2 linked regions of the Arabidopsis thaliana genome follow. The protein of the gene in region 1 purifies or fractionates together with the protein of each later gene. This does not show direct contact. Each region holds a gene or a part of one and is shown on either strand. Other genes may lie near its edges.

What was found. The genes of interacting proteins can lie anywhere in the genome.
Region 2: the proteins of ATZW10 (region 1) and MAG2 purify together in Arabidopsis thaliana (affinity purification with mass spectrometry; one study listed by BioGRID). This does not show direct contact.

Annotation. Positions count from the first base shown.
Region 1 is NC_003071.7:13,951,628-13,958,250, forward strand, and holds ATZW10 (centromere/kinetochore protein, putative (ZW10)), read left to right. Parts: upstream 1-2,037; 5' UTR 2,038-2,179; coding exon 2,180-2,737; intron 2,738-2,835; coding exon 2,836-2,973; intron 2,974-3,080; coding exon 3,081-3,254; intron 3,255-3,388; coding exon 3,389-3,550; intron 3,551-3,675; coding exon 3,676-3,906; intron 3,907-3,996; coding exon 3,997-4,110; intron 4,111-4,189; coding exon 4,190-4,282; intron 4,283-4,414; coding exon 4,415-4,510; intron 4,511-4,661; coding exon 4,662-4,790; intron 4,791-4,886; coding exon 4,887-4,964; intron 4,965-5,055; coding exon 5,056-5,214; intron 5,215-5,295; coding exon 5,296-5,425; intron 5,426-5,538; coding exon 5,539-5,621; intron 5,622-5,759; coding exon 5,760-5,843; 3' UTR 5,844-6,121; downstream 6,122-6,623. Other genes in the region: AT2G32885 (Rapid alkalinization factor (RALF) family protein), read left to right, coding at 635-853; RALFL17 (RALF-like 17), read right to left, coding at 1,431-1,664. UniProt on the Arabidopsis thaliana protein: May be required for accurate chromosome segregation. Required for proper maturation of seed storage proteins. Forms a complex with MAG2, MIP2 and MIP3 on the endoplasmic reticulum that may be responsible for efficient transport of seed storage proteins.
Region 2 is NC_003074.8:17,583,101-17,588,400, reverse strand, and holds MAG2 (RINT-1 / TIP-1 family), read left to right. Parts: upstream 1-1,693; 5' UTR 1,694-1,822; coding exon 1,823-2,117; intron 2,118-2,264; coding exon 2,265-2,366; intron 2,367-2,552; coding exon 2,553-2,653; intron 2,654-2,738; coding exon 2,739-4,628; 3' UTR 4,629-4,800; downstream 4,801-5,300. Other genes in the region: microtubule end binding protein EB1A, read right to left, coding at 5,055-5,210. UniProt on the Arabidopsis thaliana protein: Functions in the anterograde transport of storage protein precursors from the endoplasmic reticulum (ER) to the Golgi complex and in the retrograde transport from the Golgi complex to the ER.

The sequences.
Region 1 (6,623 bases):
TGACAATTATAAAGGCGAGATATGTACGCCTAGCCAGAGACGAGCAACACAATGCAATGTGCCTAGATATATTTCTTCTTTTATCAATAACTTTTTTTTCTTACATCCATTTTTTATTTAACATCTATTTAACTTAAAACATTTCTCTCTCTCTTTTGTTTACTTTATATTTAGAAATTTTACTTTTATGAAACATTCTTCATGGCTTTTTTGTTTTTTTTTTCTTCATTATTTGTTTTGTTTACAATATCTCTACAAATTTTGAACCAAGATATGGTATAATGTACTTATTTAACAGTACTATGTTAATTTTTGTTTTAATTTGAAGTAAAACTTATAACGAATTTTTATTTGAATATCAAAAAACGACCATATTTTAATATTTTCTTTAGTTGTTTTGGCCTCTAAAATATTAGAAACGGCTTTGATTAGAGATATCTTTATTTTTACAAAAATAATAATAATAAGTATGGTTCACCAAACAATGCGCAAACCCGACAAAACATTCAACGGTTACAAATGACTAAACCAATCAGAAAATTCTTTATTTAGCAACAAATCTTCACTATATAATAGCGCAAATGTTTATTGGGAATAAGAAGTAAAAAGTAAAAAAGTTTATCAATAAGGAAAAATGGGTATATCCAAGAAAACAGTTGTACAATCATTTGCTCTTATAATTATTATATCTATCGTCATGAGCACAACGGAGGCAAACAGTATAGGCGCTCCAGCTATGCGAGAAGATTTACCCAAAGGTTGTGCTCCTGGATCTTCAGCTGGTTGCAAGATGCAACCGGCTAATCCGTATAAACCAGGTTGCGAAGCTAGCCAAAGATGTCGTGGGGGTTGATACTATGAGATATAATTTTTCTTGAAAAAAGAAGAAAAGATAAAATTACATAAATAAAACTTAATTTTTCAACTAAATTAGTAAAACTATAAAATACAAAATTTTTGTAACTAATTCTATGAGAATAATGTTTTTTTAAGTAGCAGCAAGCTGAGACTGGTACGTGTATGGTAAGCTAGTATTGTCTAACTTAGCAAAAGATAATTGTATATTACCAGTCATTTGTTATATTTTTGGATATTTATGTAGAAAATTCATGTGTATTGTTATATAAGAAAATAATTAATATATTTTGTTGTTTTTTTTAAATAAATAATGTACTTATAATAGAGGTAAAATGTGTAACGCTAGGATAAGTACATTCTTGTCGGATCCAAGAAAGTTAGTAAACCATATATTTAAGGCAACAGGTTCTTCTTCGGATCATAATCTCTCTCATTAAGGGGAAAAAAGAAAAAGCAAATAGATTAAGAGAAAAACAGAAGAATCGGAAAAAACTTGAGAAAAGAAAATGGAAACGAAAAAAAAGTAATAAATAAATAGCCCTATATATAAAGAATGCATCATGCATGCATGATCAAGCATATATCCTCATCTTGTTGATCACTTTGTAAACATCATCCACATCATCGTCGTCGTCTTCTTTCACCGCCTCCACACACCGCTCATTATCGTCCCCGAGGCTGCCATCGCCGCCGCCGCATCCTCCTCTACTGACGTCAGCAGCAGCACCAGACTCGACTCTCATGAAGAAATTGCATAGGAGAAGTGTTAAGAAGCAACATATAATAAATTCTCTAGATGCAGCCATGGATCAGACACTTTCTCTCTATCTCTCTTTCTCTTGTCTGAAAAACAAATGATAATATAGATTAATCCAACTTACTTTAAAAGCTTTTGTTCTTTTTATTTACTATGTTCTTTTGTTATGCTTTTCTCTTACAATTGTGCTTATATAAGAAATGGAATTTACTATTAATGGAGTAGAGTGATTTCTTTTGAGCTGGTCTTAAGGCTAAGTAACTGTTGCAGTATTTTACTTGAATATTCATAGCAAAAATAAAGAAAATCATTTAAATAAGTGGTACGTTAGTGACAAGGAACAAAAAAATGACATGTTTTCGATGTCAAAAAACATACATTATTACAAGTTCCCGATGAAGACTTGGGCCTTGAGCCTAACATTTTATTTGATAGGCCCAATAGTAAAAGTAAAATAAAAACGTCCGTGTTCAATAAGGTCCATCGTCACCGCCAAATCTATCACCGCCAATTACTCTCTAATCGGAAAAGAGCCCCGACGACAACGACCACCGTCCCTCCGTCATGCCGGAGATAGACGCGTTGTTTGAATCGATCAATGTTCGGGACCTTCTCGCCGGACACGATCTAAACGATCCCACAACTCCGTTATCTGCACCGGATCTCCGTCTCCTCATAAACCGCTTAGAGTCTCATTCTCTGCGGATCAAGTCCAAAGTTCAGTCTTATCTCGTCGCTCATCACTCTGATTTCTCGGAGCTATTTTCTCTTTGTCAAGACACCGTCTCGAGGACTCGTCTGATCTCCGATGACGTCTCCGATGTCCTACAATTGGTTTCTGACCGTCCGATTGATGTTGAGATACGCAGTGTGGTAGATGAGATAACGGAAAAGACTAAGGAAGTGAAATTGAAAAGAGAATCTCTTGATTTAGTGAATGCGATCGTGGGAATTTGTGAGGCATTGCAGGAAACGAAGGAAGCTTTGAAAAATGGACGTTTCAGATTCGCCGCTGAGAGAATCAGAGAACTTAAAGTTGTATTGAGAATTGGTGAAGAGGAAGATGGAGAACCTGTGGCTTACGCTTTACTTAGGAAGGAATGGTCTAATTGCTTTGACGAGGTGCAACCTTAGTTAAACTCAGTGCCAATGGCTAGCTTAGTGTCTTTAATCTTCGAATTTGCATCCACATTTCAAAGAATCGTGTATGTGTTTTGCAGATTCAAGAGGTGCTTGCAAAGTTCATGGAGAATGCAGTGCGTTTTGAGCTAGACTCGAGTAGAATCCGGATTAAGTATCAGCTAAGCGTTGGTGAGACTGCTGGAATCGCTCTTAGTACTGTTCTAGAGGCAATGGAGGTATGGATATATGATTTGACTTCTGTATCAATTTTTATTTTTATTTCTGTGTTAAGTCATTTGTTAGATTACACTTTTTGGCATTTGACTGTTCTGGATTTATCTAGGTGATTGGAATATTAGACTATGGGCTTGCGAAAGCAGCTGACTCAATCTTTAAGCATGTCATCACTCCAGCTGTAACTCATGCATCTACCTTTGCCGCTGTGGAAGATTTATGTAAATCCGCAGGGGAAGTCACCGAAGCGACACTAAGGCTAGAGCAATCCTCAGATCATAAGGTCTAGAGAAGCCTCTGTCCATCTCATGAATATCTTCTTTGTCTCTAGCCTATATAGATTATGTGCTTTTTATATTTCCTGCATTTGGTCTATGTCTTCTGAACCTTTAAATACTTACCCACTTAATAATGCAGTTTGAAGATGTGGATGGAGATGCAATGTATTCTGGAATTCTTAAGGTTGTTAAGTTCATTTGCAGTTCCTTGTGCTTTGGAAACGTTACATGGATCCATTCTTTTGGGAGGTTGACATGGCCGAGGATATCAGAGTTAATTATATCTAAATTTCTTTCAAAGGTTTGCTTTTAGAACTCGTGAAGTTGTGAAATTTTGTAGAAATTTCTTTGGTGTGAGAGCACTCTTCTCCTTTGTACTTTAACTGTTGTAGTCTGTTTAAAGGTTATTGTTTTCTTTGGAGTCAGGTTGTCCCAGAAGATGCTTCAAAACTTGCTGACTTTCAGAAAATTATCGAGCGGACCTCTCAATTCGAAGCCGCTCTAAAGGAACTGAATTTTGTTTCATCATCTGACGCAGAGAGTAGGCTCAGCAAATATGCTGAAGATGTGGAGGTTCATTTTGCATCTAGAAAGAAGATAGAAATCCTAGCAAAAGCAAGAAATTTGCTGTTGCAGTGTAACTTTACGATTCCCCAGGTGGGCTTTTGATTTTCATCATCATCATGTCATATTTACCGCATTAACCTTTTCATGTGAAAGATCAGGATTGTGAACTCCGTTTTCCAGGATATTGCTATGAGGAATGCCAAGCACATCGTCTGCTTACTTTTCTCCTCTGAAAGGTGTGTGGTATCTGAAGCTGCATCTCAACTTATGAATTTGGTGCATAAGACGCTCGAGGTGGCTCTTTTCAGACTTTTGCAATTCAATATAAGCTTTTTCCAGACACGGTTGGGATAATAAACTCATTTTTATACAGGATGTCTGTGTTTCTTCTGCAAGGGTTGCTTCAGAGTTCTACAACGCTGCTAGAGATTCTATCCTTCTATATGAAGCTGTTGTTCCTGTCAAGGTCAGTAAAAAAATAGTTTTCAATGAAGATTTAACAACTGAATCAATATAGTGACTGTCGTCACATGGAAATTTCTCACCAATATGCACAAATTCTTATTCTTCTTTTTCCTTACTCCGTTGAAATGTGAAGCTAGAGAAACAACTCGATGGCCTCAATGAAGCTGCTGTTCTTCTGCACAACGATTGTCTATATTTGTTCGAAGAGATACTTGGCCTTGCTTTTGAGGTATGAACAATGTGTCTTAAGCAAGATAAACCGCTATTTTTAATTTCTTTTTTTCGGTTAAGTAATTGTCTTCTTAAGCATCCTTTTCATTGACAGGTGAAAGTTATAATTATCCCCTTCTGCTGACTTTATCATCATTTTTTGTTCACAGTATCGTGCTAGCTTCCCTAGCTCCATCAAGGAGTATGCAGTCTTTGCTGACATAGCCCCAAGATTTAAACTGATGGCCGAAGAAGTTTTGCAAAAACAAGTTCATCTAGTAATTTCAAGTCTGCGAGAGGTGAATCTGTGTGGAAAAAACTGTGCTTAAATCTTACAAAGTAATATTATGTACTCAGTATTGATTCCTCGTCTAACATTTTGCATCTACGATCAGGCTATAGATAGTGCAGATGGATTTCAGAATACTCATCAAATTAAACAGTTTAAATCTGCAGAATTTAGCATTGATCAGGTAAACACACAGACTTGAAATTGTTTGCTTTTCTCTTACCTTCTTTCCAATAAAGTGTCAGTTATATGAGGAAAATGCAATTGTTTTATAGGTTGTCTTTAGTCTAAAGAATGTGCATATGATATGGGAGCCAGTCTTACGGCCCAAAACTTACAAGCAAAGCATGTGCGCAGTTTTGGAGTCTGTATTTCGCAGAATAGCTAGAGATATTCTTCTTCTAGACGACATGGCTGCTGACGAAACTTTCGAGGTAGCTGTTTCTCCTTGCTAGTCGCTTCTGCAATGTTATATTTTAACTGCGTAATGAAAATGTTTGCTTATATATTCTCAGCTACAAAAACTGATTTATCTCATGTTGAAGAATCTATCTTCTGTACTCGATTCCGTGAGATCTGCAGATGAGACTTCTCGTCCTCTTGATGATATCATACCATCTTTGCGCAAAACCCGTAAACTAGCAGGCATGTCTTTTCTTTCTTTTTTCTTTTAAATATCCCTCAGTTTATTGCTAACTTGACATTGGCGCAGCGAAGTTTTCTTACCATGGCTTTTCTTATTGTTTATCATTTTCCAGAACTATTGGATATGCCTCTCATGTCTATAACTTCAGCTTGGGAAAGCGGGGAGTTATTTAGATGCAATTTCACAAGAACAGAGGTACAATCTTTTTAAATCGTTTGACCTCGTGTCCTACTACCTGATATATGGATTAAGGCTATTTCTTATGGTGATTATTGGATCTTTGATTATTGGTTATGGTGATTCTGAAAGCTTTTGGAATGTACTTGGTTACAGGTACAAGATTTCATCAAAGCTATATTTACAGATTCGCCGCTGAGAAAAGAATGCTTATGGAGGATAGACGAGGTTAACCAGTAGATTGGAAATGATAAAACTTAAAAAAAAAACTCAAGACTTGTGAGAAGAAGCAAGTGAAAGCCTATTTTGGCAAAAGAGCCATGAGGTATTTTAATGTCAGCAGCTTGTAACATCGACGACGCACTCTTGTGTAAGAATATATATGTAAAGAGAGTTTTAGCTGATGAGTTTAAAACTTTAGGTTTAAAAGCGTGTTCCAGATTTTGTTGTACATTTGGGCTTTAGATTCAACAAGTAAAACGCTCTGGGTAACAACAATTTTCCGGTACAAATTCTCCAAATATTGCATTTTCCAGTTAGCTAAAAACTTGAAAACCCTTAACTAAGAAACTAATATAAAAAAAATAAAAATAAAAAAGAAGAAACTGATAGGATATTGAAAACCGTAACACATGAAAACACTAAATATTTCTATGAAATTATTGATACAATGATTTTCAATGAAATTAAACTTTTGATATACTTATTCAAATATAATGTATGATGTGTTTAGATGCTAATATTATATTAAAAACTATTTCATAAACTAATATTAAGTTATGAACACTAGGAAAATATTTTGGTCTCATAAACCAACAAAATTACATTAAGAAATAGAGTTAAGAGACATTGGTATTTTTCCTTTTTTTTTTTTGTCGACATTGGTATTTTTCCTTATGTTGGCCACATGTTTAAAATGTTAACAAAATCACATAACGGTCATAATTAAGGGCCCGAAAAGGAAAAATTTCATTAGAAGATCTTATTAGATTTAGTGATCTATCAAGAACTTGAGATGAC
Region 2 (5,300 bases), on another chromosome or scaffold:
CTCGTCGGGGCACATGAGTTTTTGGAATATACAGCGAAGAATCACGATGTGTACTCTCTTTTAATTTAGTTTTTATTTCTTTGGTTTAACTTTTCTAATATAATATTAATTTTTAGCGTACGGTATACACACTCAATTGATTACAAGTTCTCAAGTCTACTTCTCATTGTAATAATCAGTTCTGAAATTTTTCAAATGTAAACAGAAACTTTTTTTTTTTTTAACAGAAACTTGTTTCTTGCTAAATGTCATTGCTCCACTTTTTTCATTCCAAATAATATCATTAGATGATTAAGATTATGTATTACAAAAAGTAGAGAACCTAAAACAGAGATGATCCGTGCCAAACAAAATTATAAGAAATACAAAGGACATTAGAAATACACAAACTAAGAATCCTTGGGAAATTAGAATTTTTAGCCCACACTAACACCCAACCAATTTTCGATGTTGTGTGTTTTTTATATCCAACCAAGTTTAGAGGTTGTACACAAAAAGAAAACACATGAAATATTGTTTTTGAAAGTGTGAAGAAACCCAAGTTGAAGGAGTCTTTAAAATATTGATAGAACTTTATTAGATTTTAGTACGATAGAATTCCAAGAAAGATTACGGAGATCTCTTTGCCATATGGTTTCTGTCTCAATGATTCGCTTCTATGTTATTGTGTAAGATGATTTATATATACAAATATGTACGAGACTCAATACTACACATTTCCTTAGACAACTCGAAATTTATTGTTTATTTTAGGAATCATATGTACTTAAATATACATGCGCGTGTACATCACACTCTCGGTTTTATATGAAATGCATGCAAAATACTAATCCTGAGTTTGCTGGTGCGATTCCATTGATTAATTATCCTAATTTGGCTTAAAAGAATGGAAACAATGTCATCAAAATCCTCAAATTGTTTAAAACGTTAATTTAAATCCTCAATTTTCCACGAAACAAAATAAATATCAAATTTCTGTCGATTTTTCAAATACTGTAAAATACCAAACTTTTATTGACTTTCCAAATAAATAATAAAATTTTGTTGATATAGCCATATTAGACATACCGTTAAGTGGGATAACAAATCCTGCTATCAAAGTTCATTTTCTCTTAATAGACTCGTTAATTGAAAATGACAACGTTCTCTCTAAGAATAAAACATCGTCTTTTTGTCATAACGGGTCAATTAAATTTTTAATTTCAAGTCATATAGGAATTTAAGGTTAAAGATTTTGCTCGATTTGGGGATCCATGATTGATTGAATTTGGAGATTTTGCTCGACGTCACTTTGTTTTTTTTTTGTTTTTTTTTCGCTTTGTTGTTATAGAAAACAATAACGTTTTGTTGTTATAGAAAGCAATAATGTTTTGAATTAACGGGTATGTTAATAAAAAATTAATTTTGTTAACGGAATCTGTTAATCTACTTAACATCATGTCTAATATGACCATTAGCAAATATTTTGTATTTATTAAGAAAGTCACATAAGTTTGATATTTATTAGAAAAATCAACATAAATTTGATATTTATTTCGTTTCGTTGGATGTTGAGAATTTAAACAAATGTTTTCAAATAAAAGTTGGAGATTTTAGTGATAATTTTCCGATAAAAGAATGTCATTTCTTTGAGAATGCCATTACAGTTTTAATTTACTTGATATGTTAAAAACATTTTTGTGGGCTTAACCAGGGCCCATTAATCCGAGTTACCAAAACTCGCAACTCGTTAACACTCCGAGTCATTGACTCAGTATCTTCTTCCAACGAAATTTCAATTTTTCATTGTTCTTGATGAAACTGAGGCCACGACGAATCGCAAATGGAGGCGATCAAACCACTTCCACAGGTCTCGAGCTTCTCCGCTTCGGTATTTAGCTTTCTCGATGGCAGATTCAAAGAATCCACGGATCTCTCTCATTCTACGGGTCTGGTTTCCGAGTTACAGACGGAGATTTCCGAATTGGATCAGAGATTGGCCGGATTAAATCGCCAGCTCGAGTCAGGTCTCGCTGCTTACGCTTCGTTTTCCGATCGCGTCGGTGGTCTATTTTTCGAGGTTAATGCCAAATTGGCTGATCTCTCTTCTTCTACCTCCGTTACTCGCTCCGCGTCAGGTTCGTATGATTTCATCACGATTCTTCTGGATGTAGATTATGTTCTTGAAATGTTGTAGTCAAATATGTAAATTCAGTCCTGGTGATGGAAGATTGAATATATTCCCGTTATAATTTGAGAATTTGATAATTGTTTAATTCATTCAGATAGCGGAAAGGAGGAGGAGGCGACGGAGCATGTAGCCGGAGAGGATCTTCCTTCATTAGCAAAGGAAGTAGCACAAGTTGAGTCTGTGCGTGCTTATGCTGGTATGTTTGGTGTTAAGGCGTTTTGTATTTGATGGCTGCTTTCTGATAAAGACTAGCTCTATTTTATGATTTGGTGTTATCGATGTTGATCGGGATTAGTTAGTCCCAAAGTTGGAGTTACCAACCTTCTTTCTTAGTTTGGTCACTGTGGTATTCAACATTTTAAGATCTTTCTCTATGTTTCAGAGACTGCACTAAAACTTGACACTTTAGTTGGTGATATTGAGGATGCTGTGATGTCTTCTTTGAATAAAAACTTAAGAACATCTCGGTCAAGTGGTTTTGAAGTAAGCACACTGTCTTCAGCTTAGACTGTTCCGTAGTTTTAGCCAGTGTGTGTGGTTCAATGTTCTAAGTTTTTACTGATTTCAGGAAGTGCGTCTACATGCTATTAAAACACTTAAAACGACAGAAGAGATACTGAGTTCAGTAGCAAAGAGACATCCTCGGTGGGCACGTCTTGTTTCTGCTGTTGATCATAGAGTTGATAGAGCTTTAGCTATGATGAGACCTCAGGCAATTGCTGATTACAGAGCGTTGCTTTCTTCTCTTCGATGGCCACCTCAGCTTTCTACACTAACTTCGGCAAGTCTTGATTCAAAGTCAGAAAATGTTCAAAATCCGCTTTTCAACATGGAAGGGAGCCTCAAAAGTCAATACTGTGGAAGTTTTCATGCCTTGTGTAGCCTGCAGGGGTTACAGTTGCAAAGAAAGTCGCGGCAGCTTGGGATCCATAAGGGAGAAAATGTTCTTTTCCACCAGCCACTCTGGGCTATTGAAGAGCTGGTCAACCCTCTGACAGTTGCATCTCAGCGACATTTTACAAAGTGGAGTGAAAAGCCAGAATTCATTTTTGCCCTTGTGTATAAAATCACAAGGGACTATGTCGATTCTATGGATGAGTTGTTACAACCGCTTGTGGATGAAGCAAAACTAGCTGGGTACAGTTGCCGAGAAGAGTGGGTTTCGGCTATGGTAAGCTCACTGTCTTTGTACTTGGTGAAAGAGATCTTTCCTATATATGTTGGTCAGCTAGACGAAGCAAATGAAACTGATCTTCGTTCTGAGGCTAAGGTCTCGTGGCTCCATCTCATTGACCTGATGATCTCCTTTGATAAGCGAGTTCAGTCTTTGGTATCACAATCAGGAATACTTTCGCTTCAAGAAGATGGGAATCTTTTGAGAATTTCCTCTCTCTCAGTTTTCTGTGACAGACCTGATTGGCTTGATTTATGGGCAGAGATAGAGCTAGATGAGAGGCTCGTCAAATTCAAGGAGGAGATTGATAACGACAGAAATTGGACAGCGAAGGTCCAAGACGAACTCATCTCCAGTTCCAACGTTTACAGACCACCAATCATTTCCAGCATCTTTCTACAGCATTTGTCATCAATAATCGAACGATCCAAATCAGTGCCGGCCTTATATTTGAGGGCTAGGTTCCTGAGACTGGCAGCCTCACCAACAATTCATAAGTTCTTGGATTGCCTCCTTCTCAGGTGCCAAGACGCCGACGGACTAACTGCATTAACTGAAAATAACGATCTAATCAAGGTCTCGAACTCTATTAATGCTGGTCACTACATTGAATCTGTCTTAGAAGAATGGTCTGAGGATGTCTTTTTCCTTGAAATGGGAACTGGACAGCACGATCCACAGGAAGTTCCAGGACTGGAGAACTTTACTGAACCTTCTGAAGGTATTTTCGGAGAAGAATTTGAAAAGTTGGAGAAGTTCCGGCTAGAGTGGATAAACAAATTGTCGGTGGTGATCTTGAGAGGCTTTGATGCTCGAATCCGAGAATACATAAAAAACAGAAAGCAATGGCAGGAGAAGAAAGACAAAGAATGGACGGTGTCAAGGGCACTAGTTGGGGCTCTAGACTACTTGCAAGGAAAAACGTCTATAATAGAAGAAAATCTAAACAAAGCAGACTTTACCGCTATGTGGAGAACTCTAGCCTCAGAGATAGACAAGTTGTTCTTCAACAGCATCTTGATGGCGAACGTGAAGTTTACCAATGATGGAGTCGAAAGGTTAAAAGTAGACATGGAGGTTCTATATGGGGTTTTCCGGACGTGGTGTGTTAGACCCGAAGGTTTCTTTCCTAAACTAAGTGAGGGGCTTACGCTTCTGAAGATGGAAGAGAAGCAAGTGAAGGACGGTCTGAGTAGAGGCGATAAGTGGCTACGTGAGAATAGAATTCGATATTTGAGTGAAGCCGAAGCCAAGAAGGTAGCGAAGAGTAGAGTGTTCTCTTAGTTAGATATTTTTCAGCAAATCAATATCTCATACGAAGGTACATTCATAGGTGAGATCATTTCATTTATTTGTGGATTAAGATATAACACACAACTTTGGATTTTTAATTGAAATTGAACTAACCAGCTCTGGTTCTGTTTCGTCTTAAATTAATGATTCATGAGTTAATAGAGAAACAAAACAAAAAGGAAGCACCGACACTTAAATTCTCACTTTGGGTCAAAGTATTGTTTTAAAACAAGAAAAAAGCCTCTTGAATAGTAACAAAAATAAGTCTCTTTGTTTTCAAACTAATCTTTCTAATAGAAGAAGCTCATTCATCTTCAAGTTTCAGTTAGTTTCCTTTCACAAAAGAAACTTGGAAGAGAAGGCCATGGCCAGCCATTGTTCGTCACCCTTCTACTTAGGATTGTTAATAGTCAGAGCTTAGGCTTGAGTCTTTTCTTCTTCCAGTTGTTCTCCGTTTCCTTCAGCTTCATCATCTTCAACTCCTAGGGACTGGTTTAGGTACTCTTGAGCGTCTTCTAATGCAGATTCATTTGCATCGGTTGCATACAGTATCTTCTTCACTGCTACCACTATCTGCATTCCAGGGAAGCATATATATCAGATTCAAACAAAATTATGTTCATAAAGTTGAGTTCATATGATGAAAAACATAAAATGCGGTCG